Rhinolophus ferrumequinum: one gene and its partners. The main gene of each other region encodes a partner of the protein of the gene in region 2 in a complex. Links are inferred from orthologs where the notes say so. Each region holds a gene or a part of one and is shown on either strand. Other genes may lie near its edges. The genes, in order: RBL1, MYBL2, E2F4 and RBL2.

Region 1 (7,525 bases), about 5.1 Mb from region 2:
CTGTTGTTCAGAACTCATGCTCTAACCAACTGAGCCATCTGGCTGCCCCCCTTTCTACCATTTTAGTTTTATGTTTCTTTTTTAACCAGTTTGGCAGAGAAAGGTAAGAACAGAATGGAATGATGACAAGGGAATCACACATAAAATATTAATCCTATCTTGCACAACATAAAAGACACTCATTTTTATGAGGTAAAAATTGGGGAAATTATTTACCCCAATCTTTAAAATGTTATAGTAAGTATAGATGTCTATCTTAGCAGATATCTCAATTTACAATGCTACAAAAAAAGGTGACATTTGGGAATTGAACACTTAATCCTCTGACATAGACTGGAGATATCTCCAAGCTAGAATCACTTCATGACTTCACTGCTGAACTATACGTGAAATTTAAGAGTTAGACACAAATCTCAGAGTAACAAATAACTGCTCCTATTACTGTTCCACAGATCCTCTTTAAGACTAGACTCTAGAAGGATAAAAAGATTGATAGATTTCTTGCAATAATCCGAAAGGGGTGGACAGAAATGGGTGGCCGCCAATAAAGTTAAACTAAAACCCAGTGTTCCTACATTAAAGTAGTGAGAAGTCTTATTTGCTCAAGGCATTAAATGAGGCAGGTAGTCTTAAGGCTGTATATTTTTAGAATCCTTGAGTAATGAATTATTTGGAACCAGTATCCAAGAATTATAGAGCCTTTGGATACACGCTACTAGATGAAAACAACATTAAGATAAAGAATATTTAAGTACTGGAATTACTTTTTCCCTATATTATTTATTCTAATTCCTTGATGCTAGATCTTAGAAATACAAACAGTTTCTGACCTCAGGGAACTCCAAGTCTAGAGCCAAGAAGAACAGATATTATTATCTATTATTGGTCAGATAGATGCTGTAAGAAATGAAAATAACGTGTTGTGGGAAAATACAGTGTAGTGAGTATAATTTTGACTAGAGGTCAGGGGAGGATTCACAGAGGGAGACTTAAAATTGGTAAGTGGTAAATCACCAAAATGTAAGGAGAGCAGGGGAAGAGCAAGGGAAAATGTATGCAGGAGATGGTCAGGTGGACTAGAGAGGCGTAGGGGCTGCAGGGAAGGGTTCTTACGAAGCAGCAGATATATGAAGATGCCTACTGCAAGAGTCTTCACCATAAAACAAACAAAAATGAAAAAAGAGAAAATAAAACACTGTGGATAGAATCAACACTCATGAAATCTTAATTCACACATATGGGCTTTCTAAATCGAAAATTTAAGAGGTCCTGATCAACTCTGCCTAACTGGAGATCTAGCTGTTCAATCTTCCCTGGAGTTGTGAGTGAGGGAAGTTTCCCAGTACAGGGAATGGCACGGAGAAAGCACACAAGTGGGAACGAGCTTGGCATATTCAAGAATCTGAAAGAGGTGCCTAGTTTAATGGCCTGACTACAGTTGGCACTCAGTAAAAGCTTATTCACTAAGAGACTAAGTGAGGACCTGGGATGTCAGAGATGCTTTCTCGGGCTTTTAAAAATCAGTTGTTTTCATTGAGACAATAATTCATAACCTTCCTTACTTTCTTATTCTTTCCCCAGCTTTCCAGTCACGTTCCCCATGGATGCAGATCACTGTCTTTTACCCAGTATATCTAGAGCTACTATGGAGACATCCAAGAGTCTTGGGTACTTTTCCCTTATATATAGACACGTACACTCAACTCCAAATTTCCAACTCTGCCTTTAAATCCATCAATTAATTATTTCACTGGGTGGTGAGTCAGTGGAGCACTCTACCTTTTGAGTCCGGCCCCCTAGGATCATGAAAGCCTTTGAATATAAGGCCACTGGATTCATTGCTGAAATACACTCAATCACAATTCTATCTGTACACTGGGCTTATGCTTGCCTTAATATTATTACCTGGAAAACAGGTGTAACACTCCTTTGCCATGTTCACAGGGCTATCGTGAGGACTAAACCCAAGAATGACTAGGAAAAATCTAATAATGATTGTCTACATTTATTTTATGTCATGGCCTGATATTGTGCGAAAGCATCAGGATAATCTAAGTATCCCCATCTGAGAGAGGAGGAACCTGGAGCTGAGAGGTAGCACTGTATGAATGCACATTGGTTTCAAAGTGAGTAACCCACACTTCCGCCCTAGGGAGGCGTAAGGGTGGAGAGGTTAAATGGCTCGGACTCCTTAGTCTGGCTCCACCACTAACCACGTGACCTTGGGCAAGTAACTTAACCTCTTTGGAGCTCAGCTTCTCATTGAGAGAATGGGGATCACAGAACGGGTTCAAGAGGTTGTAGCCAGAACTAAGTGAGATGACATACTTAAAGCGCTGGGCAGTGATGTCTTGGCACACAATTCATTTTAGCTTTTCTCATTATAGTATTTGGTTTTGTAATAGATTTAAACGCAGTAACGTGACGTTTGTGGCGCTTGGCAGGACGGGGGGAAGTCTGGTGTGGAGTCTATGGGACCCCCTGAGTGGCGTGTGACCTTGGGCAAACCCCTCCTTTTCCGGACTTCAGTTTCCCGCCTCACAAAAAAAAAAAAAAAAGGATAGCATGATCTGCACTCGCCCTTCCAGCTTCGCACTCTGCAGCGCCCGGCTGGGCGGCGACCCTTCTCGGTGGGGAAACTCCCACCGCCCCATAGGGTAGGGTAGGGTAGGGGCGGGGCGGAGGTGGGGCCTGGCGAGGGTCGAGCCCCGCCGTCCCACCTGCCGCCGCTCACCTCTAGGCTGTAGTTGCCCCGGATGGCGGTGAAGTCGTCCAGGGCTTCGGCCGCGCTTCCCTCGTCCAGGTTCAGCTCCTGGCACAGGGCCTGCAGCGCCTCCCCGGCCGCGGCGACCACCGTCGCCCCCTCCGCGTGGGGATTGTTCTGGAACATCCCCTCAGGCCCGGCGGGCGGCGCGATCACAGCCCCCGGCTCCTTTCTCCCTCTTGGGCGCCCTACCCACAACTACCCGCGCCAAAGCGCGCGAAAATCGGCCGTTTTAGAGCGACGTCTCTACGATAGTCTGCATCCGCGTTCTAGCCGAAAAAGTCCGTCTCTCCTCCAGGGCTCCCAGCGGTCCCTCTCAGGAAATGTGATTAGAAGACGGACCTCGGGTGCTGAAAAAAACCTGGTCTTGGCCCTCGGCAGGCAGCTGTGGGCACAGCTGGCAGGACAAATTGGGAGCGGAGGGATCAGCAGTCCGCGCGCAGAGTCTGTTGGGAGTTGTAGTCCATATGCTACCTCGAAGCCCGCGGCGCCACTCTTGTCTCCGCGGCTCTTGGGTGTGGGATAGGGCTGGGGCTATTACTAGGTGGCCTTGTTCATCTTAGGAAGAAGGCTCCTCTGTCCCGCCAACGCATGGGCCTGGTTTGTTACTGCTCTGCGGCGCCAAACAGTCTGAGACTTACCCCTTGTGTTAGAGATGGAGTAGGGAACCGAAAAAAGTGGTCCCTTGACAGCGGGGGAGTAGGGGGTGGGAATGGGGGGCTCGTTGGAGTCTCCTCAGTGACTCCAGCGCCCAGCGAGTGGTCTGTTGAATGACTGAAGGGTTGATGAGGCAAGGATGGTCGGAGACACCTCGCCATGTCTTGATCGCTAAATGAGGCTTGATCTGGACTAAGAGAAATGCAGTAAGGGGGACCTTTCTCAGCTCCCTGGGCCCTGGGAACCGTCCTGGTAAAGACAGTCTTTCCAGTATTAGGAATGGCCTGAGCATAAGCCTGAAGGCGTGGAACTGGTCTTGAAGCTTACCCTCTGCTCCACCAAAACCCCCTCTTCATGAAGAGCCCGAGTGATCTTTTTAAAGGTAAATCAGAGCACGTTAGTCCTTCACTCAAAATTCTTCAATAGGTTTGTCTTGCCTTTAAAATATCCAGGCTCCTTTGTATGGCCACAAGGCCCCATGTGATTTGGCCTCATTCATGTTCTCCGCTCCCTTCCCAGGTATGTAATAAGGTCCAACCTCACTGCTTTGTTTTGGAACCTTGAAAATGCCAAGCTACCAAGCTAAGTTCTTACGTTAAGGCCTTTGTCACACACTGATCAAACAGCCCCAGATACTCTACACCAGATCTTTGCTTGTCTGGCTTCTCCTCATTCAAGTTCAACTATTAATTGTGGCCTTCTCAGGCCATCTCTGAGCACCGTACCTAAAATAGCTGACCCTATCTCCAACCCCATTTGTCTTCATTGTACCTTATCACTATCTGAAATTATCTTGTGTATTCACTGGCTCTTCCTACTCAAATGTGAGTTGCATGAGAGCAGGGGCCTTCCTTTCATATTCACTATATTCCGAAGTTTAGACTAGCGCCTGGCTGGTAGTTGGTACTCAATACTTAGCATGTTGTATTTGAGAAATTACAAAGAGCCCATTGTTGCTTGGATGAGGGAAGAGGTCACCAGAGATGGAAATGGGACAGGGCAAGGTAGGTTGCAAAGCCCCTCATATGCTCCACTAAAAGCCTGGACATTATCAGTGAAGGTTTTAATGAAAGGTGATGATGAATGGTCGGTGTTTTGGACAGGTTCCTCTGGCTGCGGTGTGACACATGGATTGGGTGGGGTAGAGACTAGAGGTATGGAGATGGCAGAGGACTGGTCCAGTATACGCAGGAGCCAACCTGGAGACAGGTCTCTGGCCTAGAACTGAAGGGGGGCACTGCTGAAGAGGAAGGAGCCCCTGTAACACGTTTCCATCTGGGCCAAGAGGGTGAAAGGTGATGCTGTGAACTATAATGAGAGTGTAAGCAGAGGGATCAGACCAATTCTAGAACTGCTGTGTTTATGCTGCGTGCGGGAAGTTTAAGGAGAGACTGTTGGACTCTGGAAGGTGGCCCTTTGGGACTAGGGAACCAGCTGCAAGCTGGGTCTCCAATGAGTAAAAACTCAAACTCCCCCCAAAAACTCAAACTCAAACCCAACCACCCATGTGGCACGTCCAACTCTGCTCCCTTCTAGAAGCTACTGCAGTTGACTGTAGGACCATCTCATATTCTCTTGTCACATAGTGTCTGTAACAGACTCTCCTATGAGTTTTTGCTTAGAGGATTGGTTATGGGCAGTTGTAGGGAGGTCTATCTCCAGTGCCCAGGGGTCTGTAACGGGTTATCAATCCTCCTAACTTCCTTTCCGATCAGCAAAGAGATGTCAGGATTAGTGCAGGTGAGATGGATGCAAGTCCTCCTGCAGTGGTTCATTTGTTTCCTAATAAACCTACTGTACTTATTTAAGAAAGCATTCCAGGAGTGGGGACACAGACTAGACAGGGAGATTTTGGGAATATTCAGGCAGTACATGAAGCGAAGGGAGCAGGTTCGTATGAGGGAGTGTGATGGCATGAGAAAAGACTTAAGGGTGGAATTCAGAGATGGGCAGAATTTGGGGAGAAAATTTAAAAAAACCTGGCCAGAGAGGTATAAAAACAAGAGCAGTATTTCAGAGGTCAGGAAATAAGTCCAACATTGCAGAGAATTCACATAGGATGAGGAATTCAAAGACCTCATATATTATCATTCATATATTTTTAGTGACCTTTGCCAGAGCAGTTTTCTTTAGCCCACTGGGGCTGGAAGCCGTATTACTATCGCCAAGAGGCTAAGGGGAGGAAGGTCAGAAAGTTGAAGCAGGAAGTAAAAACTTCTCTTTAAGAAGTTTGGTGGAGGAGAGGCAAAGGGAAGGGTATTTTCTAGGATGGGGAAACACAAAAAAATGAGTCTTCCGTATGCAATCCTGGCTTTCACAGCGGGTCGTGGACAAGATCACAAGAGTTAAGAAGCCTCAGGTTTTTTTGCCTTTGCCATAACTAATCAATCTCTCTCTCTCTCTTTTTTTTTTTTTTCCAGATTTGAACTGCAGAGGGTGATTCTGGCCTTGAAAAGAAACCAATACAAAAGGAAATAGCTGTCAGGGATTATAAACCAACAAAACCAGGGACTCATCGCCCCATTTTTCATCTCTCTAAAGAGATGGTTTGGATTTCAGTGAGTTGCTGTATATGTATTATAGCCCATTTCTTCTCTGCTATTAGATTTCATCCTCCTGATTCTTTTCCCAGTTCACGCATACTAACTCCTAAAAAACATTTCTTCATTCCACAAATGTTTATTGAGTGCCTCCTGTGTGCAAGATACTGATTCTTCCTTTGCTGTTACTTTCAGATCATCCAGATACAAACTGAGGGGCATGGCTGGCTTGAAAATGATCCAAGAACAAAAGAAACAAACACCTCTCAAAGGTCATCCACCAAACAAACAAAAACTGAGAAACATTAAACATTATTCTTTTTTCTTCTCTTCCGGGCTGAATCTGGACTCTCAACTTGGACTTTGAATAAGTCATATCCTGTCTATGTAAAGTCTTGCATTTTCATCTCCCATCTCTTGATTCACCTGACCTGTTACCCTTTACATCCAATCACTTGCTTCTGTGGTTTTTTCCTTTTGCCATGTCGTCATTCTCAGACTGTCCTGAATTGAATTATTAGAAAGTATAGGCCTTGGAAGTGAAGCCAAAATAAAAGGAAAATACTCCTGAGTTCCCTTATTTCCTTTAAAGCAGAATTAAACAGTACTGGCTTCCTGCCCCCGCCCCCCTTTGGATGCTACCTGAACAATGTCATTAGTTTTCAATAAACAGTACTGCTACACTCACCAAAAAAAAAAAAAAAAACCCAGCCCATGCTGTCCTCTGTGTTATCACTGACACCCCGTTCCTTCATCCTCTACACTAAATCTTGTGGATTCCTCCTCCACCAGGTTTCTAGCTGTCTCAACATTTTATGTTTTCTCTTCCAACCCATTTTATATTTAGTTACTACTCTAGTTTTTCTCAAGCAGCATTTCTAGCATGTCACTTTCTCAAGACTCTTCAGGGGTTCATTATTACCAGTGCAATCAAATTTAGGCAGCTTAGCATTGAGGACACATCTGTCAGAGCCAGCCTCACTTGCATGCTTTCTTGTTTTCCTTTGGCCCTACCTTTTTTATCAGGGTTCACGTTGGTTTTTTTTTTCTTCTTAACATCCAGTGGCATGCCCATTTAGCACTAAGCTGAGCTTTTTTGACTAGAAAATGAAGTATGGGTAGTGAAATAGATTTTACTCTGCCTTCATGTCTGATCTAGATACATCACGAAGGTTGTTTCTATTTTGATCTCATTGTGTGATCCCTTCTATGATTAACCTCCCTATTGTGGTTTACTATTTCAGAGTTCCCCAGGGCCTGTATCCAGAACCTGATTAAGACTTTTTGAGACTCCAAGACTAAAAAGATTATACTGTACACTCTCCCAAATGTAATGCAAAATATAAACAATTCTCAACAAAATAAGTGTAAGAAAGTCCTCAAAATTTTCTCGACATGGCTATTTCATTTTGACATTCGTTCAAAAAGTTTTTTTGCCCCCCAGCTTTGCTATGCCCCTTAAATAGGTACTCGATCAGTACATGCCCCTCTTAGGAAAAAACCCTAACCATCTAACTGTCAAAAAGAAGCAGTTGATAGGGGTGGAGGTGGGGCAAGTCCTGAC
Region 2 (6,934 bases):
GGGGTTATGGGCTCTTTTATTGTCTTCTTTATTTTCAAGAACAGGATGTCAAAAGCTACAAGAGAAAAAGCAGTGGAGATTTCACCAAGAATATTGTGATATTCAAAACCCGACCCCCATTTAATATTCTCTTTTCAGTGACAAAACTTCGTAAACTTGCATGGATAGTCTAAGGATTGAAGCTGATGACATATGCAATCATCAAGTGCCAGAATTTTAAGAAATATTGGTTATTTGGGAAAAACATTTTAAAATACATTATCTTACTAACTATGCCCATTTTTGCATATCCCCTCTCAATCCTTGGGAACACACAGGCATAATTTATGGAGAGAAAAATCAACTTTTTGAATTCTTGATGTTTTTATTTTCTAGCAGGCAATTTTCCAAGTTGCTCTAAAATCTTCATCAGGTTTAATGATTATCCACCTCCAGTGATGTCAGGTGTGCCCCGGTTAGTGAGCTCCCAACTCCCTGTGGTGAGTGGGACCTGTGTCAGGTCACCAGTCAGGTACATTCCTAAGTCAGCCATTTGGAAGTGAGAAAAGCCTACACTTCTCCAAACAGGCAAGGCAAGTACAGGCCCAGTGTGAAAAGAAGGAAGAGGGCTTCCTTCTCAACTTCCTTTCCCCTTCTCCAGAAGTCAGTATCTCCCTGTGCTCCCAGGGCACCTTGGCAATCCTCCTAGCTCAGAATGTAGGCCCTTAGGCTACCTGTCTCCTTGACATCTACACAGAGGTCAGCTCCACCTCCACAGCTGCAGAGCCTTAGGGGATTGGTATCAAAAGATCTTAAATGTTTGCTCAGGGAATGCCCGGTACTGAAATGAATGAATAAACACACAAAGCTGTTGCCTATTAGTAGATAAGAAATAGCAATTAAAATAAAATTTTTAGAAGTAGAAAAGGAAGGGTCTAAGAGTGTCTAATCCCAGCAATACATTAGTCACAGGAGCTGGAATTCCTGACCAAATTCATGGGGTCCTCCATTGCAAAGTAGGAGACAAAAATTCTACAAGATACTTGTAACAGAATGAATGAAGCTGGCTTTAAAATCAACTACCCCCAGACCTCTTTCTGACAGTTACCTTTGGTTCCCTAGCACCCAACTTCTGATAGACGCTCAGCAGATGTTCCTTCAAGGATGAAGAAGTGTCTTTCTACACTTTCTAATGCTCTGATACTCTACTTAATGGGACCAACAACTCAGCTGGGCGAATTCTGAGATAAACTTCTATCACCAATATAGTGCTAACCATCCACTTCACAGGCATTCTCATTATCCCCACTTAATAGATGTGGAAATTGAGGCTCCCTGGAATTAGGCCACTTGCCAAGTCCACTGAGCGAGGCTCCAAACCTACACTTTCAAGTTCTCCCCTAGTAATCCCAGCTGAAAAGGCAGAAGCCAAGTCAGTGGTGGCAACCACGTGGAGGTCCAACACACCCATTCTACACCCTTGGATGTGCTGGGCTCTGCTCCAGGTGGGGTGAGTCAGAAGCTGAGCGGGAAGTGGGGCACCAGTGCAGAGAAGTTACAGCAAGTGGCCAAGGATGAAGCGGAGGGCTGTGGGGTGAGAGTGCAGGAGGGGGTTCCTACACTGAGCCCCAGGGAGAAGTGGCAGAAGGCCTGGCTTTTATGGCTCCTTGGAGTAACACTCCCTGAACCAAAAATCAGGAAAGGGTCTGACAAGTGCTTGACCAGAGAACTCCTGAGGAGTGGAGCTGACCTAGGAAATTGTGGCCTGAGGAAGAGGCACCCTGACCACTGCCCAGGGATCAGATGCTTCTGTGCTGAAAAGAACTCTGGGGAAAGCCTGCAAAGAGTGCTTTTCAAGTCGATATCCTCAGCCTGAGAAGGCAAACACCATCCAGAGAGGGGTTTAAGGTTATCTGGGCTGCATGAATCCAGGGAGGGCACAGGGCAGGAGCTCATTGTCCTCCCTGACTCCCAGGCTGGCTGAAAAGCCCAGAGCTCAAGCCCCAGGCACACAGGTGTAAGAAAGGCACCTGGAGCCCACAGACCCGGTCTCAGGCTCAACCCTACCACTTATTCTCCAGGGGAATAAGTAAAATGGAGACCGCAGTTCCTGCCTGGGCCCCAGGGGCTGCTGGCACAGAGAGGTCGTGATACACATCAGTCTCTCTTCCTCGTCCGTCACCTTTAACTCCAGCTGCCCAAAACTCCTCATGTGGAGCAGTTAAGTCTCTGAAACTCAACCCAGCTGGGGCCGCGATCCCAGGTGGTGGGGGACAAAAGAGGGCCTCCTCACCCCCCGGCACTCTTCTTAGGCCGGGGAGAGGACTTGGGGTGCTCTGTACTTTCCCGAATGCTGAGAAAAACCGCCCACCAGCAAATCTGAACCCAAAGAGGCTTGAACGACAAGTGTCTTCCAGGTTTGGCCTCTCGCGCGCTGTGACTTAGAGAATCCCTTTCCCTCTCCAGGGGTCGCCTCCCTCCCCGGTCATGGCTCTTCCAGCGGACACCGCCGTCCTACCCCCAACCCGAAATTAGGCGGGAGGCAAAATGACATCATGCAGGGATTGGCCCAGGGCCCAAGAGACCCGCCCGCCCCGGCTCCGAGGCCCAGCAGGCTTGGGAAACTGAACGATGGGCCCAAAGAGACCCCCGGCTTCGCGCGCCCCCTGCCTCGGGCGGCCCAGGACTCAGCATTCCCGCGGGAAACCCCCACACCCGCCCGCTCGGAGGGACTATGATGAGGATGGGGGTAGAGCAGGGGTCGGGATGGAGGAGGATGGGACCTGGGGAGTGGGTAGGGGACCTAAGCCTCCTGGCTTTGCTCACCCGCGCGTTCGCCGAGACATCCCCCCGGCCCGGGCCGCGCCGCGCTCGCCTGCCCGCCGGCTGAGCCCGGAGCGGGAGCCGGGCCGGGGTCAGAGCGCGGGCTGCTTTGGCCGCTCCGGGCCTCGGGGCCGCGCTGGAAGGCTTCAGCGTGCCCGCAGGTCCCACCGCGGCTCGCAGGAGCTGCAGCTGCCGCCGGCGCGCGCAGAAGCACTTTCCTATCTCCCGCCAAGCGCGTCGGCACCGCCCGGGCCTGGCGCGCTGGCGGGCGGGCGGGCTTGGGGGCGGGGCCTGGTGGAGGCGGGGCTGAGCCCCGGCCCAGTAGGCAGGCAGGCCGGCTGCGCACAGCTCCAGAGCCCTGAAGTCCCAGGGCAGGTAGGACAAGGCCTGTGGCACCTTGGGAGACAGGGCTCTGAACACGCTGCCCAGTGACTGAGGCTCACGCCATGTGTGAATCAGAGCCGCCAAGGAGTAGCCCACACAGCCAAGATTAAGGATACGGAGTGAGCCGCAGGGATGGGAAAATCAGGCTGGGGATACCATCCGTGCAAAGACCCCAGGACTACTCCAAGCTGCTCCTACGGTCTATAGAACCCCCCTCCCCGCCCCAAGGTGGCCAACTCACCTAAACCAGGGCTGTGCCTTAGAACCGTCTCCCTGCTTCCTCTCCAGCCTCGAATTCAGGGGCTCTGGCTCCTCGGATGGACTCCTGACAGCTCGAGAGATCCTCCTAAATTGTAAAACTGATCTAGCCTCTCCAGAACTTAAAACCTCTGCCCTCATTCTCTGAGTAAAATGCACCTTAATCTGGTTTATAGGATTCTGCCAGATCACCACCTCACCCCTTACCATAGGAAACTTACTGGGCTCCTTGCGTTTGCTTGGGCCATTACCTGGGCCAGGAACACTTCCTGCCCCTCCCACCTGACTATTTCCTATTTATCCTTGGGGTTCACTGCCCACAATCTGTTTATAAACTTGTGCGTCTCCCCTTTGAACTGTAGGCATACTGATGTCCAAGTGGCCCCTGCATTCACCACAGGATCCCCAAGACCCAGAATTCAACTGTGGAGTTGAATTCTGTTTCCCACTCAGGTGATTAAACTCTTAGAGGCTTAGCAAGGATTTTCCATTTTAAGTTGCCATTTACCAAGTACCCTCCACACCCTGCTCCCTGGGACGAGTGCTGAAAGCAAGGTAAATGAACTCTGAGACAGGAGCCTGGGGAGACCTGGCTGAACCCCACCTTCTTAGCCCCTGCGTATGCCTCAGACCCCTCTTCCAGAAACTGCTGGACCCCTGGGGACAGTCCTGCCAGCTGGTGTAAACCTCATTTCCCGCAGAAGGAACGCTGACGTCTTAAGTGCTAGAAGTTTCCACAACAATTAATTCAGCGCTTATGTCACCCACCTCCCTCATAAAGTAATTCATATGGACATCACGTTTTCATTGCTAGGCCATAGTATTTAAGAGTCCAGGCTCTGAAGCCAAACTTCCTAAAGTTTGATTCCCGGCTCTATCATTTACTACCGTGTTTCCCGGAAAATAAGACCGGGTCTTATATTAATTTTTGCTCCAAAAGACGCATTAGGGCTTATGTTCAGGGGATGTCACCCTGAAAAATCATGCTAGGGCTTATTTTCCAGCTAGGTCTTATTTTCAGGGAAACACGGTAGTTGTGTGGTCTTAGGCAAATTACTTAACTCCTCTGTGCATCAGTGTTCTCACCTGTAAAAATAAGATTTTTCAAAAACTTAGATAGCTTTTCCTTATGTGCCAGCCACTGTTCTGTATGCTTTCCAAATTTTAATCCATTTAATCCTCATAACAACTCTATTAGGTAGTATTAATATTATCTTCTTTTGGTAGATGGGGAAACTGAGACACAGTATCCTGTCCCCCTCCACCCCCCGCCCCCCATGTCACATTGCTAGTAAATGGCAAAGCAGGGATTCAAACCTAGGCTGTCTAGTTCTCCAGTGTATGCTCTCAATCACTAACTACACTGGTACCTACTTTGTCGGGTGGTTGTAGGATTAAATAAATTAATGTATAAACCACTGAAAACAATCCGTGGTACATAATAAGTACTATATTACTTTTAGTTGTTATTATTTTTATTATTACTCTTCAGCTACCCTCATGCTTGTCCGTTGAGGTTCAGGAAGTTGCTTGGCACACTGTACGTACTCTCACAAGCATCATCAGTCTCTCGCCGCCCGCGACGACCCGGGGCAGTGACTTGACCTGTTCTAGGCGCCCGGAAGGAAACGGAGGCCTAAGACCCGGTGCTGTCGGACTGCGGGTCCCACGCCTCCGCCCACAAAGCACCCACTACAGGCGCGCGCGCTCCGACTCAGGCACCGCGCGGGGCATCGCGGGAGTCTCTTCGCTACCTGACGTCACCAGGGGGCGCCTGCGCTCGGGGTCCGCTTGGAGCCTCTCGGGTTTCGGCAGCTTGGTCCCCCGCAACTGTCTTGCCTTCGATCCCGCCAGCCCCGCGCCCCCCGAGTCATCGTCGCTGGGAGACCTCCCTTGACGCCTGCCTTTTGGGGTCGTGCGGAGGAAGAAAAGCTCCGCGGATGAGAGGGAGCAGGGAGGGTACATCTTCGGCCTCTGACATTTTGGCGGTCACAGGAGTTCGCGGTTAGTAATCGCCCCCGGCCCGGAGCCCTGTAGACCCCATTCTGCCTCTAGCCTCCCCTGATGACTCCCCGTGTGCGTCAGCAGCTCTGGACAAGCCCCTAACACTGCAAATTTCCTTTATGCTGTTTGTCACCGTTTTCTACTCTTAGGAGGTTAATGTCTCTCCGGGATTAGATTATGGGCTGCCTGCAGGAGCGCAGCCCTGGGGTGAAACAGTAGGCTTCATGTTAAAATTTGGCATAAGCAAGATTTTTATTTTTAAAGTGTGTATTTCTTCCTGTCTCTTAAAGGCGGAGAAAAAAAGTTGATAATATTGGTTGCACGAAGGGGAACTGAATGCCTGAAGAGGGTGAAATTCTTTCTCTTCATCCTTCAGTTCCGTTTTCAGTTATTACCTAAATTTTTTTATTTAAAGAAATTTTTAAATTTCATTAAGGCATATGTAGTGCCCTGTGACCTTTTAGGGAACAGTAACCTAAGGAAAGCCAACTAGATCTATGAATCATAAGATACCACAAAATTTCCTCCTTGCTCTTAGGGAAAGAAAAAGATGTTTTGTCACCAACACACATCTCCCCTTTCTCTTTGTTATCTCCTCTTCTTTTTGACACTAATGCTTCTCCAGTCAGAGGTGTATTTTACTCCAACAAAATCTCCAGTAATAAAATTATGCTGTTACCTGCTAGGACTAGTACTGTAACTTTTTTTTTTTTTTTAAGAATGAACTTGAAACACTTGTTCAAGTCAGTTAACTTTTTCATCTCAAGAGGCTGGAAAAAGTTCGTGCACATAGGTGAACAGCAACTGGGGTTAAAGGGCATTCTTATATTAATAGTTCACGTTTGAATTTAAAGCACCCCTGCTCACTACCTTAACCAAGTGATTCAACTTCATTTCACTAATAGAGGTCCAATCTGACCTCGTATTATACACAGCATCACCTATGAAATAGTCTTGCCAAAAATGTTTAATTGAAAGCTAGTCAAGCCTTTAAACCTAACCTCCAGTTCGCAAGAAATAAAGGAGCTAAAGGGAGAAGTTAGTAGACACCATGATGAAACTATCAGATAAACCCAGAGTGAGGGACACCTAATTTAATCTCATCAAAAAGTCAATGCCATTAAAAAAAGAAACAAAAGAGGTAGGCAGACTAGAGACAAATCCAATGTGTGAACCATGACTGGATCCTGGCTTGAAAAAAACATCTATAAAACATACTTTGGGGACAATTTGGAGGCATTTGAATAAGCATTAAATAGTACGTCATAATGGTATATTGTAGTTATAGAATGAAGTATATTTAGGGGTAAAGTGTTATATCCGATTTCATTTCAAGTGTTCAGTAAGAAAAATTAACATAAAGCATATATGGCAGTATGTTAGTTTTTGAAAATAAATGGTGGGTACTGGTGTTTATTGTATTAGTCTTTCCACTTTCCTGTTTCAATTTTTTCATCAGAAGCTGGGGGAAACACATCCTTGCCAG
Region 3 (7,303 bases), on a different chromosome or scaffold from region 2:
TGGGCAGCCATTAGCAGAGTCCTAGTCCTGCCCTCCTCCCCTTTCCCTATGGGAGCTGCCCACCTGCCCGCCACTTCCCACTCACCTGAAGCACGATGGCTGGCATTGGTGAGTGGTAAAAGCCAGATGGGTCTGTGTCAGGCTCCTGCTCCCGGCCCCACTCAGCTACTTCCCCATCCAGTGCTTTCTGCAGCCACTGCACCACATTTGCCTGGGGGAAGGGATGAGGGGCAGCAGGATATAGCAGGGCACTGACCCTGCTAGAGACAGTTAGACATGTGACTTTGCAAATACAGGCACACAACTGGTAGCAGAGCTTCTCTGGACCTGGGCCCCAACTACTCACCTGGACTTTGGACACAAATGTTGCCTCAAGCTGCTCAATATTCTCCAGGGTCAGGAGGGGCTCCAGCTGAGACACGTCAGCCTCAGGCCCCAAGTCCAGGCTCCCCATCATTTCTGGCCTGGTGATAGGTGGCCAGTGTCACACTGAGCCTGCAGCTTCCGATCCACCCACTTCCCATTGCCCAAAGCGCACTGACCCCAGGTACACATGTAGTGCCCAGTGCAGTAAGGTGAAGGCATCAGCAGCTCCCAGCTCAGGCCCTTCCAGGAATTGCTGTAGGCAGCGGCGCAGGCCACTATGCAGGGTGTGGGCCCATAGCTGGACCACCCTGTAGTGCGGTGGGCAGCAGGGTGCTATTAGTGCCTCAGCTCTGGCCAACTCGGCTGGTAGAGCCACCCGCAGAGCCTCCAGCCACCCTGCTAGGGCCCCTGGCCCAGGCAGCAGATGTGTCCCAAAGTGGACCTGCTCCAGGCCCTCCTGTAGTGCCCGCAGACAGCGCTGCCGCCAGTCCCGGGGGGCTTGCTCCAGGGAGGTTGTGCGGCCCGTCTCCACCTCCGCCACACGCACAGCAGCCACCAGCAGGGCTGGGTCCTCCCGTGCCAGCTGTCCTGCGGCCCCTACAGCCGCCTCCACAGCCTGGCCCAGTGCCTCCGACAGAGGGCCCAACCCCTCGAAGATTGGCAACTCCAGGTGCCCCAGAGATGCCCATGTCTCCTCTTGCAGCTGCTCAAGCTCCCGAAGGCTCACATATGCCTCCAAGAGCCGTTGGGCATCAATCAAGGACTGTGTGTGGGCCACTGCAGCTGGCACTAAGGAGGGAAAAGAGGAGACCGCCCTGGGTCTCAGCCTTCCCACCTGTGCAATGGATACAGGATCAGATGCGGAGGTCCTGGGGCTGGGATCATGTGTAAAATATTTAATAACCAGTATAGTAGAGCATTAGCCAATCTGAAAGGATCCACGGAAGGTCCTAGAGGCCTGGTGGGCCAGGGGTAAACCCTTGAGCTAAAGGAACATGAGGAAGTCAGGGATCCTGGAAAGAAGGCAGAGAAGAACTGGAGGATCATTCTAATGGCTATTCACCCACTCTGTTAGGGAAATATTTCAATTTAACAACAAGGATGGCCAGAGCCACTTGACTGGGTGTCCTTTCTGACTCAGACATCCCATGCTCAGGAACACCAGAATGAGCTAATTTGCACCCTGCTTCATATGCCATCTGAAGCCTGAGTTACTTTCTGGGAGGTTCCTGGTGTGGCCCGCCACGCAATCTCCCACTAGTGTCCCAGCCCCTTGATGGGTGTTGACTGACTATTGGATGGTTGAGGCCCAGGGCCCCTGCATACTCACCTGCCTGCAGCCGGGGCAGCAGCTGAGACAGGGCCTGCAGTTGTTTGTGCTGGCTGACCTGCTCCCGCAGGGGCTCTAGTGCCTGTACAGTCTCGACCATGCCCCGGAGCAACCCATGGGCCTGGCCCAGGGCCTCACGGGCTTCCTGCATGGCCTCAAGGCCCTGGGCCAGCTGCCACACACCAGTCTTCACACCCTCCAGGTATGACTGCACCACTGACTGTGGGAGGGAGGCAGCCAATGAGGCCTGGCCAGCCCTGCCGCCCACCCCCAGCACTCTTGCCCCCTGCCTGATGCCCACCTTCATGCGTGCTTCCAGGGAGCAGGTACGCTGCACCTCACGGCTGCGGTACTGGCCCAATCTGGCCAGCTGCTCCGGCCGGTAGAAAATGCCTGAGGCCCACTTGAGTGCTGCACCCCGGGCTAGCCGCTCCGCCCTCTCCTGCTCCGGCCACTCAGGCCCTGGGCAGGAAGAGCCTGGGCAGCCATGTCAGTTGGGCAGGGCCTGAAGGAAGCAGCTGCCGAACCTGCTCCCCTTCCTGCTCTTTAGTCTGGCCCCCAGGGTGGTCCACTCATCTCACTGACCCATAGAGCTCCAGCCAGACTTGGCAAGGACCCAACCCCACCATTCCCCTCTTTCTTGCCACATCCCTCTCCCAACCCACCCGGAAGGTCTCATACCAGGGAGAAGTGCAGGCTGCATTTCGTTCTTGGTTGTTGAGTCCATGGCAGGCCCCGCAGGAGCTGGAGCTGAGGTGGGAGTCGGGGCAAGAATGTGGGTTAGAGCAGGCAGAGTGGATGCTCCTTTGAGATGCAGGTTCTCCCTAGGCCCCTCCAAGGAGGAAGAGGGAGGTTCTTGTCCAGCCCCCTCCAGAAATGCAAGGGAGGTGGTATGACGGACAGATACCCGGGAAGCCTTCCCCTGCTGGGTTTCTTAGTTTTGCCCTGTGCAGATGCCAAGTGAGGCAGGGTAGGCACAGACCTCCCCTGCTGAGTGGCAGAGGACAGTCTGGTATGGAACTCACCAGGCCCAACCAGGCATCCAGTCCTCCGCCCTCCTCACACAGCCTTGGCCTTGAGATGGCCCTCTCCCCGCTGCCCTCACAGCAGAGCTGGACACTCCCTCCACTAGCTCAGAGGGCCTGGGTGGCCCTGGCCCACACCTCAGCACACAGCAGAATTCCTCTTCCCAAGGAAGCCTGTGTCCTACCTCCCTGCCCAGGCGCCCCTTCCTCCCTCCAAGCTCCCTCCCGCCCCAAGGCCACGTAGAGAAAGGAAGGAAACTGAAACTCTGGCATTTTATTCCCAACAGGAAAGAGCATCTGCACTGTGGGATGGGGTGGGGAGGGCAGGGCGCCACTTCCTTGGGGGGCGGGGAGTCCACCCAGGACCTCTTAGTGCTCAGGACACAGACGCGAAGCAGATGGCCTCAACCTGGGGTGCAGAGGGGGTTGTGCAACATGGACGCAGACAACAATGTCACAACATGAAAACTGTGTTGATGGGCCCCTCAGAGGAGGGTGTGCACCTCTACAGAAGAGTGAGAGATCACAGGCTGCTGTGAAGAATGCTTGTGGTAGGTGATGGCAGGAGAGGGGCCCAAGGGGTATGAAAGCTGTTTATCTTGAGAGTTAAAGGGGGCCACAGAAGGGACTACAGGGTAGTTAGTAATAATGTAGTGGTCATTGGTGAACCATCCAAATCTACCCTTCAGGACAAAGGCACTTGTTCCCCTAGTTGCCAGGAGTGTAGGCTGCTGAGATCTCACAGCTGAGTCTCTGGGTCAATTTTGAGGTACAAAGGCCCAGTACCTTTGCCTGGATGTGGAACACCTTGGAAAGGCCACCCTAGTTTCAGAGCCTCTCCTAGTAGGATGGGCTGAGGCCTCTATTTTAACTGCCTCGCAGTTTAATTCCTTCTCTGTCCAATTCTGTTTGTCTTACTTCCTTATGAGCGTGGATCCTCCAATAAAGGGATTTGCAGGCAGATCCCTGTCTCAAAGTCTGTTTCCCAGAGAACTTGATCTAAAATGAAAAATAATAAATGATAAATAATGACAATGTTAAAAATAACAAAATGATACCAGCAAACACATAATTCTTCCTACATGCCAGGAACTGCTTTAAGTACTTTACATATATTTATACACCGGTAAACATGTTTGCATAGGCTGAAAACTGGTTATAATTCCATGGTCTCTGACCACTGCAGTATGGAGACGATGAGGCTGGAATCAGGGAAGGGGAAAAAGGATGGAGACAAGTGGACAAGCTAGATATAGTTAGTGCTTTTGTTTGGCAGAAAGTGAGGTATGAAAATAGGGTGGATGACCCCAAGAAAGTAGGGCAGCTTCCAGGAGCAGAATTGGGAAAACATATTGGGTTCATTAGGCAACATGATCTCTTTTCCTAAGATGGGGGGCTGGGACAGAGTTAGTGGAGTTGGGGCAGGTTGGCCAGTCAGGAAGGTTCTGGTGGCTCCCCTTTTTCTACTGCCGGGATTGCCCACCGACTTGTTCCACATGCTTCTACACCATGTCCTGTCTCCCGGGATTTGCGGGTTGTTTTCGTCCTTTTCGGCGGTTGGACATTTGCTGATGGTCCCCGAAGTTTTGCGACCGTGCCGGCAGAGAGGCATTGCGCCAGGTTCCCTGGGAGAGCGCGGAGCGGAAGCGGAAGCAGATACGCTGGCGCCGGCGGCGGGGTGGCCAGGAACGGAAGCGGAAGTGGCGGCGGCGCCGGCCTGGCCTGGCCTGGCTGAAGGGAGGCGGCAGGCTGGCGCGATGGCGGAGGCCGGGCCACAGGCGCCGCCGCCCCCGGGTACTCCAAGCCGGCATGAGAAGAGCTTGGGACTTCTCACTACCAAGTTCGTGTCGCTTCTGCAGGAGGCCAAGGACGGCGTGCTTGACCTCAAGCTGGTGCGGCCCGGGCTAAGGGAAGACAGGGGTGAATGGTGGACCAGGCCTGGGCCGGTAGCGGGAACCCCCGGGGCGGCCCAGCGGAGCCCTCAGAGAGCAGGCCACCATCCGTGCGTTTTCTCAGAGGAAGGAGGCCGGGAGCGGTTTCATTCATTCGGCCGAGGCCATTGGGTGTCCGCTATGTGCTAGTCTCCGGGCTGCAGGTGCTGATCCTCGTGGCCCTCCCCGCCTGGTGTGGGGAAAAGAGCATCAGCATATCAGTCCAGGGTGCGCCAGGCCTCTTCCCGCCCCGCGGTCCTGAGTTGCTGTAGTGCCTGGGAGGAGGGTTGGGACCTAATCCACCCCCTTTTCAGACCGCTCCAGACCAAGTCACAAGGTAGCTGGGGGTACACCTGAGAGTGGGGTTGAGCATCCTCCACTCTCTTCTGTGTGCCAGGCAGCTGACACCCTAGCTGTGCGCCAGAAGCGGCGGATTTACGACATTACCAACGTGCTGGAAGGTATTGGGCTGATCGAGAAAAAATCCAAGAATAGCATCCAGTGGAAGTGAGTGGGGGCACCTGGGAGGGTAATGGGATCTCCTATCCAGAAGTGCCAGGGGTGGGGGGTGGAGGGTGCAGGAGAGAGCAGGGGCCATGGGACCCAGAGTTTCCCAGCAGCTCCTCAGCCCCACTCCCTGCACTCAGGGGTGTGGGGCCTGGTTGCAATACCCGGGAGATTGCGGACAAGCTGATTGAGCTCAAGGCAGAGATCGAGGAGCTGCAGCAGCGAGAGCAAGAACTGGACCAGCACAAGGTGTGGGTGCAGCAGAGCATCCGGAACGTCACAGAGGACGTACAGAACAGCTGATATCCTCCTGGCAGTCCATGCTCCCGGGGAGTGGGCGAGGGCCCCTCTAGTCATCTGGGTTTGCTCTGTGGTGCCCCGGGCTGTATCCCTCTTGGGAGGATGGTCCTGCAGCTTCTGGCCAGGTCCCAGCCTCCGGCTCCCCTCTCAGAGCTCCTCTCCCACCAGTCTTGGCCTGTGATCCGTCTCCGCATAGACCCCAAGCCCCAGTACTTCTGAGGGCTTGTATGACAGACCTCTCCTAAAGAGCTGGGTCTTCTCTGTGGTCTGCCATCTGTCACCATAGGCAGGGCCTCAGTCGTTCTCCTTAACCCCCACACCTTGGCCTACGTGACTCATGAGGACATCTGCAGATGCTTTGCTGGTGAGCAGAGCCTGGGTCGGGGGAGATGGGGGTGGGGCTGGGCTGAGCCACAGCCCTGAGCAGTGGGCTCAGTACCCAAGGAGAGTTACATCTCTTCAGAGGGTTCCTGGGGCCTGCCCAAAGAGGAACCAGGCAGGGTAAGTCCTGGGTTTGAGGGTCACTGGGATCCTGTGGAGGCTAACCATACTAAGAGGGTACAACAGTCGTGGGCTGGGTCCCTGGGTCAGCCCCCATCTGCACCGGCCCCTGGTTTTGGCTTCTCAGGTGTGATGGGCATAAGGGGGGGTGGTGTGTGCATGCTTGTATGCTGAGGGCAGTGACTCCCACTTTCAACTTATAGTTTATTGCATTATGGATACAGGAACTGTTCTTTCTCCATCTTGCACCCCACAGACTGGTTCTGAGGAAGGGATGTTGGCTTTGGCCAGAACACCTACACTTAGGGAGCAGCCCCGTCAATTGAGGAGTGAGGTGCCCCTGGCCAGCAATCTTTCGTCCCACATGTTTGAATCCAGATTTTCTGGTTACTAACCACCCCCTGGGCTCTTGGAAGGAGACAAGCTTTAGTTCTCTGCCTCAGCCACTGTGGGGGATGGGTGAGACCCCCTGTCTAGCTTCTCAGAGACTGTGATTTCCTTCCTTGCTCCAACGGACAGGCACCCCTATTCCCAGCTCAAACTGAGTCCCTGGAGCCTGACCCATTCTCCTTGTTGTTCTAGGAGACACCCTCCTGGCCATCCGGGCTCCATCGGGCACCAGCCTGGAGGTACCCATCCCAGAGGTGGGTGCTCAGACCATGCAGGCGGGGTTGGTTGAGGGCGGGTGCAGGCTGTAGAACCCGATAAGTTCCGGGTGGGGCAGGTAGGTTGAGGCCTGGGGTTCGGGGTTATCTAGGAGAACGGGCAGCCTGGGGTGGGAGAGGACACTGGTCCTGGCCCAGAGTCAGGCAGGAGCCAAGACTGCTTCCAACTCCTCCTGTCCCACACCCCCAGGGCCTCAATGGGCAGAAGAAGTACCAGATTCATTTGAAGAGTGTGAGTGGCCCCATCGAGGTGCTGCTGGTGAACAAGGAGGCATGGAGCTCGCCGCCTGTGGCAGTGCCTGTGCCACCCCCTGAAGATCTGCTCCAGAGCCCACCTGCTGTCTCTACCCCTCCAACTCCACCCAAACCTGCTATGGCCCTGACCCAGGATGCCTCACGCCCAAGTAGTCCCCAGATGACTACCCCCACCTGTGTACCCGGCAGCATCGAAGCCCAAGGGGTGACCAGTCCATCAGCTGAAATCACAGGTGAGGCAAGATGGGCATCTGGATGGAGTGATCTCTGGGGCCCAAGAGGCAATACTTCTGTATTGTGGGATGCCATACTCGGAGTTGTAAGAGACCCTATGGGGGTTGTCCCTTTCATGGCCACCAACTGGCCTTCCCTTGCGATGGCGGGGGAGCCCTTTTTAACAGGCAAGCTCTGACTGTGAAGGGG
Region 4 (6,825 bases), on a different chromosome or scaffold from region 2:
CCCCAAACAGGAAACTTAGAAGTATTTACACATTCCATATATATTAAGATACAAGTCCTGTGCGTGTAGTTCTAAATTTAATACCATATAATAGTTTTTTAATCTTTTCAATGTAGAACATTTCCTAAAGTTTTTCAATATCCTTATTCAGAATTCTCCAATATTATAGAATGATGAGCCACAACCTTTAATAGTAAACTCTTCATACAAGTGCCTAATATATTAAAATTTAAGTATTTTTCACCAAATAAGTAAAACATAATGGATACTAACTGAGATGTGGTAAAGGAGAGCCATGACTTAGTGTCAAAGTTCAGCACGCCATAAGTACAAATGCTCAGAAAATGATGAACAAAGATAATTCTTACTGTGGTCTATGGGCTTTTATATTAATCGCATTCTACTTTTTAAACTCTAACATAGTTACCTCTGCTCTGAACATCGCAGGATTCTCGTTAAAGATACATAGTTTCCTTCAACTGTCCCTTTGCTTACAGTTGGCACAGATTTTCTGCAAGCCACATACAAGGCACATGCTAACCAATGAAGATCATTTCCCTGTAAAAGAAAATTGATGGTTAGCTAATGAGCTATATATATTTCAACACAAAAATCTTATGTTTAAATAGAAAGGAATATTTATATATGTGTGGGGAATTGTATTTTTAATGATGGCCCTATCCCATGTGCTCTTCTAATGTGACTGCCATTCTTCCACTGAGAGGCAGGAGTCTCTATTCCCTCATTTTGAACTGTCTCAACCAATAGCACAGGCGAAAGTGATGCTATGTAACTTCCCGAGATCATAAAAGGCAATACAGATTCCACTTGACTCTCTCACAGGACCTGGGCTTTGGGAGTCCCAATATGGGAGTAGAATACCTTGAGCAAATGACTTAACAGTCACAGAAGCTCAATTTTCTTATCTGAGGACTGTGAGAATTGAATGAGTTACAAGTATGAAGCAAAGACAATACAAGAAATCAAAAGATAAAACTCTGTAACCAGTATTCTGTAATATGTAATATATTATGTAATACAGTAATCTGATATAATATTATCTTATAGCGTACCCAACTATAAGCTCCACAGGCCAGAAATTGAGTGATCAAACATGTTTTCAAAAATTATTTACGAAGCATCTATTATTTGTCACTTGCTTATATAACACTGGACTTCATAGGACTTTAACCTCTATGAGTTGAAATACCTCAACCGTATGGAGATAACGCTTGTTCTACCTAATTTACAGGATTATCCTGAGGGTAAAGTAAGAGCTTATTTGGAGGCACTTAATGCCCATCACCAAAAAAAGAGTCCTTCTCTTTTCCTGACCACAGGAACCACTGAGAAATAAATAGGAACATGGCCTATTCAGCCAGATCACCTAAGTACATGAAAGAGCTTTGCAGACTGGACAGCACTGTCCCTGAGTGCTTTATGTGCCAGAAACTACATATTACCTTATTTAACCTTCAGACGGCTCTGTGAGGTAGATACAAATCTCTCAAATTTACATATCACAGAATTGAGTTTGGGGGTAGTTAAGTAAATTGTCCAAAGTCACTTAAGGCTCTAAAGCTACTACATTACTAGCTTTTGTTTCTTCTTGTGTAGATACAACAATAGGGAGAAGGAAATGAATGAAAATCCTATTAAGGCAAAAATAAATAAAAATAACCTTAGTGACACAAAGGCAGAACTATCCTATTATAAATACCTTGATTAGGCCGTCCCATTCTGAGCCTATCTGCCCTACTCTTTCCACAACCCGTATAACAACCTAAGAAAATCATGTGGCTTCCGGTTTGAACGCCACACACACACACGCAATGAAACAGCTGATAAACAATCCAGACTTCCGTGTCACTTCCCATTGGCCCATAAAGGGGAGGTGCCTACAGAGTTGAGTCTCACTGGCTAGCAAGACCATTTTTCTCATCTGCAAGCCCCGTCTGAAGAAAGGGCCATAACATGCCTACATCACAGCGACTACGAGAGTCCTGTGCAATGTCTGTCTGGGGGACCGAAAGGTGCTCAAGGTCGTCGCCGTCCTCATTTCCTAGTGACAAATGGGGGCGTGTGTCTACACCCAGGGAGGCAGAAAGCCCGTTTCCTTCGCCCCGGAGATTTCTCCCGTTGACACATACGCGAACCCAGGCGGAAACTTAACGCGTTTCCTCAAACAAACAGATGCAACGCCTGGACTAAGGCGATGCGGTGCAGGAGAAAAAGAGCAGAAGGGGAAGGCTAGAAACCCTAAAGGGTTAATCTCGGTGCGGACACCGACAACGTCCGTCCCTTCTCCGCCCGGGCTTGACAAGTGCACCTGTTCGTTCTGCCGACCAGGTAGTTGTCCTTTTGTAACCCTCGCGGTGCTACGTTAGGGCAAGAGGTGTTCCCCATTCGCAACCCGAAAGGGAAGAACAGCAAGACAGGGTTCCCCTTTGGGAACACCAAGAGCCTTTCAATCGCCAGGTTTCCACGACTAAGGTGCACAGGGAGGATTCCCATCCGTCTCCAGTTTGGAGACCCGGAGACCAGGGACCCGCCGGAGAGTCCCGGCGAGGAGCCCGACCCGGGGTAAGAAGGGGGCCCCGTTCTCGCGGCGAGCACGGCGACTAGGCCCGGAAAGCCCCTCGCCTCCTCCCCGGGGCTCACCTCCAGCGTGTAGCTCTCGCTCATGCTCCGGTAGCTGTCCCAGGCCTCGGCCCGCGCCGCCTCGTCCATGTTGAGGCGGCTGCATAGCTCGTGGAACCGCTGCTGGGTCTGAGGAGTCGGCGACCGGGCCGGCTGCGCGGCGTCTTCAGCATCGCCGTCGTCGTCCTCCTCCTCTTCCGAGGCTCCCGCCGCCGGAGGGGGTGGCGGCGGCGGCGGCGACTGGTCGCCTCCCGATGGCATCGCGCACCGCTGGGCGGCCGGTCCTCAGGTGAGCTGAGGGCCCGGGCCCGTAGCCATTCAAACCGCGAAGCGCCCGCCCGTCGGCCACTTATGCGGCGACTGCGCCGCCGCTAACGGCGCTTGACTTCACGTAGGCACCCGTAGTTCTGAGCATGGCCTGCTGGGAAACGTAGTCTGGGCCGGAGAGCCAAGGGGGTCAAAAATCATTCCCCACCCCCCCCCAAAAAAAATCTGCTTTCGTAGTATTCTTTGGGATGAAATAAAAGCGGCTTTTCTACATTTTAAGTACCTCCCCATCCTGAGACCACTCAGCAGGACTCTACTGAAGAGAAAACGTCCAAGAAACGTTAATTGACACGTGAAGGTTTAATATCCAAGGTGTCCCCAGAAAGAATACTCATCACCTTGGTGTTTTTATCAAAGAAATAAGGTTAATAGCAAGGGCCTTTCTGGCAAAGTTCATTGTCGGTGTCTACCCTAATTTCTAGTTCTTTCCTAAGTTTAAATTTTATTTGAGCCTTTAAGTAATTATTGGATTTTCTTTTTTAAAAGCCCTCCCCCAATAGGGCCAATATACGTTCACCGTGACATTGAGTGTACTATCCTCAGTCACCCAGTTGGCTTAACTTTATTGCTTTATTTTTGTTTTGCTTTATTTTCATATCTATAGACTTGAATCACTTTATTGCCAATCCTCTAAGATTTATAAATGGGCATATTATAAAACATTTTCATGCTTGATAAGCCGTAAGTCATTGCTCAGTGGGATACTATGTAAACCGAGGAAAAGAAATACTGGGACAAAAGCAGTTTAGGGAAGCTTTAATAGGAGCAGGAGAGAAGAGGGGGAGGAAACTTGGAGGTAGGAGAGAAGGAACTAAGGAAAGGTAACAGATGCCTCACGAACAATTTTGAGACGATGAAATCCTATTTGTACACCCTGCCTTGAAATTCACGGTAGAGTTGGATTTGTTTTCTCAGTGCTGAGTTAAGATGATCAAGGGCAAGAACAGAGGTGGGACACAACTGCTTTATAAGTATTTGTAAATACGTTGATAAGAAATTTTGCTACTTTCCTTATATTTGGGCTGGGGATACTAAACTTTTAAAGAATGACATATCGCTTATTTTGGATACCATCATCAACATTTTACTAGAAGTAAAACTTAAATTCTTTTCGAGGAATTGAACTGGCAACCTTGTGGTTGAGAGCCCACTGGCCCATGTGGGAATCAAACCGGCAGCCTTTGGAGATAGGAGCATGGAGCTCTAACCCCGAGCCACCGGGCTGGCCCAAAATTTAAATTCTTTATTGAGGTAAAACTCTACCCTTTTTAGTAAAATTTAATGTAATTAATGTAATTGAAGTAAAATTGGTCATAAACCATCAAATGTCTTATTAAAATATTCTTTGCTTGTCACTATCAATATTTTCCAAGCCAATGGACTCTAAATGTCATAGCACTTTGATACTATAATGCATTTAAAAAGTACATTTACAAAACTTTCGTTTAACAATGAGCAATTTGATATCATTCCTTTTTCTCCTTTACCTCACACTCCTGTTCTATCCTAACAAAATTGTATCCTAATCTTTTGTCCTTGAAAGTCCTTTCTTGATCTTTCATATTTCCTTTCATCAAAAATGTATGTACAAAGTATCCTTCTGTTTGTTCTTTTGTAAAACTCACTGATATTAATCTGCATATGGTAAAATTCACTCTTTTAAGCGTCCAGTTCTATGAATTTTGACCAATAGTCAAAATTAATATAGTCAATCAAGATATAGAACATTTCCATCACCCTAAAATTTTCCTAGTGCCCTTTTGTAGTAAACCCTCCTCACACATCCCCAGGCAATCACTGATCAGTTTTCTGTCCCCATAGTTTTCCCTCTTTTCCAAAATGTCATACAATGTAATCATACACTATGTAGCCTTTGATTCTAGCTTTTTTCAACTTGGCATAATGCCTTTCAGATCCATCCAAGTTGCTTGTGTCAGTTGTTCCTTTCTATTGGCAAATCATATTTATATGAATGTCCCAACACTTATCCATTCAACAGTTGGTTTTTATCTAAAAAAATAAGGATAATAGCAAGGGCCTTTCTGGCAAAGTTCATTGTCGGTGTCGCTCCTAATTTCTAGTTCTTTCCTAAGTTTAAATTTTATTTGAGCCTTTAAGTAATTATTGGATTTTCTTTTTTTAAAGCCCCTAAAGATTGTTGAAAACATCTGGATTGTTTCCAGTGTTTGGTGATTATGAGAAAAGCTCCTTTAACATTCATGTGCATGTTTTCATGACAGAAATTTTCATTACTCTTGGGTAAATACCTAGGAGTGTGCTATGGGCCCAATGTGTGTCCCTCCAAAATTCATGTTAAAACTACCCCCCAGTGTGACTGCATTCAGCGATAGGACTTTTAGTAGGTAACTGAAGTTAAATGAGGTCATAAGTGTGGGGCTCTAATCCAATAGGATTGGTGGCCTTAGAAGGCCACACTCAGGGACTGAGAAAGGGCCACCATGGGCACGCAGAGAAGGCGCCCAAACCGGCTAAGACGGATTGGCATTGCTGGTTGTGTGGTAAATGTTGAACTTTATAAGACACTGCCAAATTTCTTTGAAAGTGGGTCTATCATCTTGCATTCCCAGACACATTGAAATTTAAATTTATTTCCCTGTGATCATTAGGCAGTGTTCAATTCCTTCCAGACTGAGTTATCAAATGGCTATTATTGAGAATGTGGTTTCAACTGAGTTTACAATACTATATGGGTCTCCCATAAATATATTTTTACATGTGTTGCTACTAGCAAAAACTGTTCATTTGTTTTGAATTTCCACTTGAGGATGCTATCTACCCAAGCAGGGCTGAGGCCAAGTTACATTTTACCTGGTATTTTAAGTCTCTTGTTGAGACCTGAGTTAACCGTCATTTTGTGATTAATTCCACTCAGCTATTCTTGTCCAATATGGCCTGACACTATGAGCCCCGCAGGTCGACCCCTCCTACCAGCTCTGCTTATTTTGAATGAGAATCCGTTGTGCTAAAAATTCAACCCACAGTATAAACTACAAACAATTAGCTTTACTTAACACATAGGGAAGCCTTGGTACTCTGGAATAAAAACAACATGCCCTTAGAGCCTTTTCTGTCATAAACAATTACGGCCTATGACAGTAGATATTGGGCTACACACCCTCAACTGCTTTTTATTGCTACATTTTAAAACATTTTTGTCCATTTTCTTTTCCTTCTTGCATTCAGGCTATAAGATGTTTCTTTAGACTGGGGTCACCATATGACCTGTTTGTTGGTAGCCCCTTTTCTCCCTTCTCTTTTTAGGGGAACTTGCAAACTAAGTATCTGCGGTGGTGGGAAATGTGTGTCAAGGCCCCATCGGCTGTGAGAAGGGCCTTGCTTGGAATGAAGGGCATGGACATTAATGATTGAGTCCATGAAATCAATATTGACCACAAAAGACCCTGAATAGCCAAAGCAATCTTGAGAAAGAAGAACAAAGCTGGAGGCATCACACTTCCTGGTTTGAAACTATATTACAAAGATATAATAATCAAAACAGTATGGTATTGGCATTAAAAACAAGACAAATAGATCACTGCAACATAATAGAGAGGACATAAACCCATACACATATGGCCAATTAATTTACAAGAAAGAAGCCAAGAATATACAATGGGGAAAAGACAGTCTTCCATAAATGGTGTTGGGAAAACTGGACAGCCACATGCAAAAGAATGAAGCCGGACCCTTATCATGCACCATACACAAAAATCAACTCAAAATGGATTAAAAACTTGAACATAAGACCTGAAACCATACAAGTCCCAGAGCATAGGTGGCAAGCTCCTTGACATCAGTCTTGGCAATTAATTTTTGGATTTGACACCAAAAGCAAAG

Evidence for each region.
Region 1: MYBL2 (region 2) and RBL1 share a complex: the UniProt entries of both Homo sapiens proteins name them as parts of the DREAM complex. The link is inferred for Rhinolophus ferrumequinum from reciprocal best matches to the Homo sapiens genes MYBL2 and RBL1.
Region 3: MYBL2 (region 2) and E2F4 share a complex: the UniProt entries of both Homo sapiens proteins name them as parts of the DREAM complex. The link is inferred for Rhinolophus ferrumequinum from reciprocal best matches to the Homo sapiens genes MYBL2 and E2F4.
Region 4: MYBL2 (region 2) and RBL2 share a complex: the UniProt entries of both Homo sapiens proteins name them as parts of the DREAM complex. The link is inferred for Rhinolophus ferrumequinum from reciprocal best matches to the Homo sapiens genes MYBL2 and RBL2.

The regions. Positions count from the first base shown.
Region 1 is NC_046306.1:18,788,072-18,795,596, reverse strand, and holds the start of RBL1 (retinoblastoma-like protein 1), read right to left. Parts: upstream 3,018-7,525; 5' UTR 2,891-3,017; coding exon 2,735-2,890; intron 1-2,734. UniProt on the Homo sapiens protein: Key regulator of entry into cell division. Directly involved in heterochromatin formation by maintaining overall chromatin structure and, in particular, that of constitutive heterochromatin by stabilizing histone methylation.
Region 2 is NC_046306.1:13,696,771-13,703,704, forward strand, and holds the start of MYBL2 (myb-related protein B), read right to left. Parts: upstream 3,021-6,934; 5' UTR 2,826-3,020; coding exon 2,806-2,825; intron 1-2,805. UniProt on the Homo sapiens protein: Transcription factor involved in the regulation of cell survival, proliferation, and differentiation. Transactivates the expression of the CLU gene.
Region 3 is NC_046298.1:16,922,205-16,929,507, forward strand, and holds the start of E2F4 (transcription factor E2F4), read left to right. Parts: upstream 1-4,302; 5' UTR 4,303-4,478; coding exon 4,479-4,613; intron 4,614-5,049; coding exon 5,050-5,159; intron 5,160-5,299; coding exon 5,300-5,461; intron 5,462-5,779; coding exon 5,780-5,823; intron 5,824-6,542; coding exon 6,543-6,604; intron 6,605-6,815; coding exon 6,816-7,113; intron 7,114-7,303. Other genes in the region: EXOC3L1 (exocyst complex component 3-like protein), read right to left, coding at 86-211, 347-464, 543-1,155, 1,697-1,916, 1,998-2,173, 2,378-2,423. UniProt on the Homo sapiens protein: Transcription activator that binds DNA cooperatively with DP proteins through the E2 recognition site, 5'-TTTC[CG]CGC-3' found in the promoter region of a number of genes whose products are involved in cell cycle regulation or in DNA replication.
Region 4 is NC_046298.1:7,167,756-7,174,580, reverse strand, and holds the start of RBL2 (retinoblastoma-like protein 2), read right to left. Parts: upstream 3,022-6,825; 5' UTR 2,902-3,021; coding exon 2,662-2,901; intron 559-2,661; coding exon 428-558; intron 1-427. UniProt on the Homo sapiens protein: Key regulator of entry into cell division. Directly involved in heterochromatin formation by maintaining overall chromatin structure and, in particular, that of constitutive heterochromatin by stabilizing histone methylation.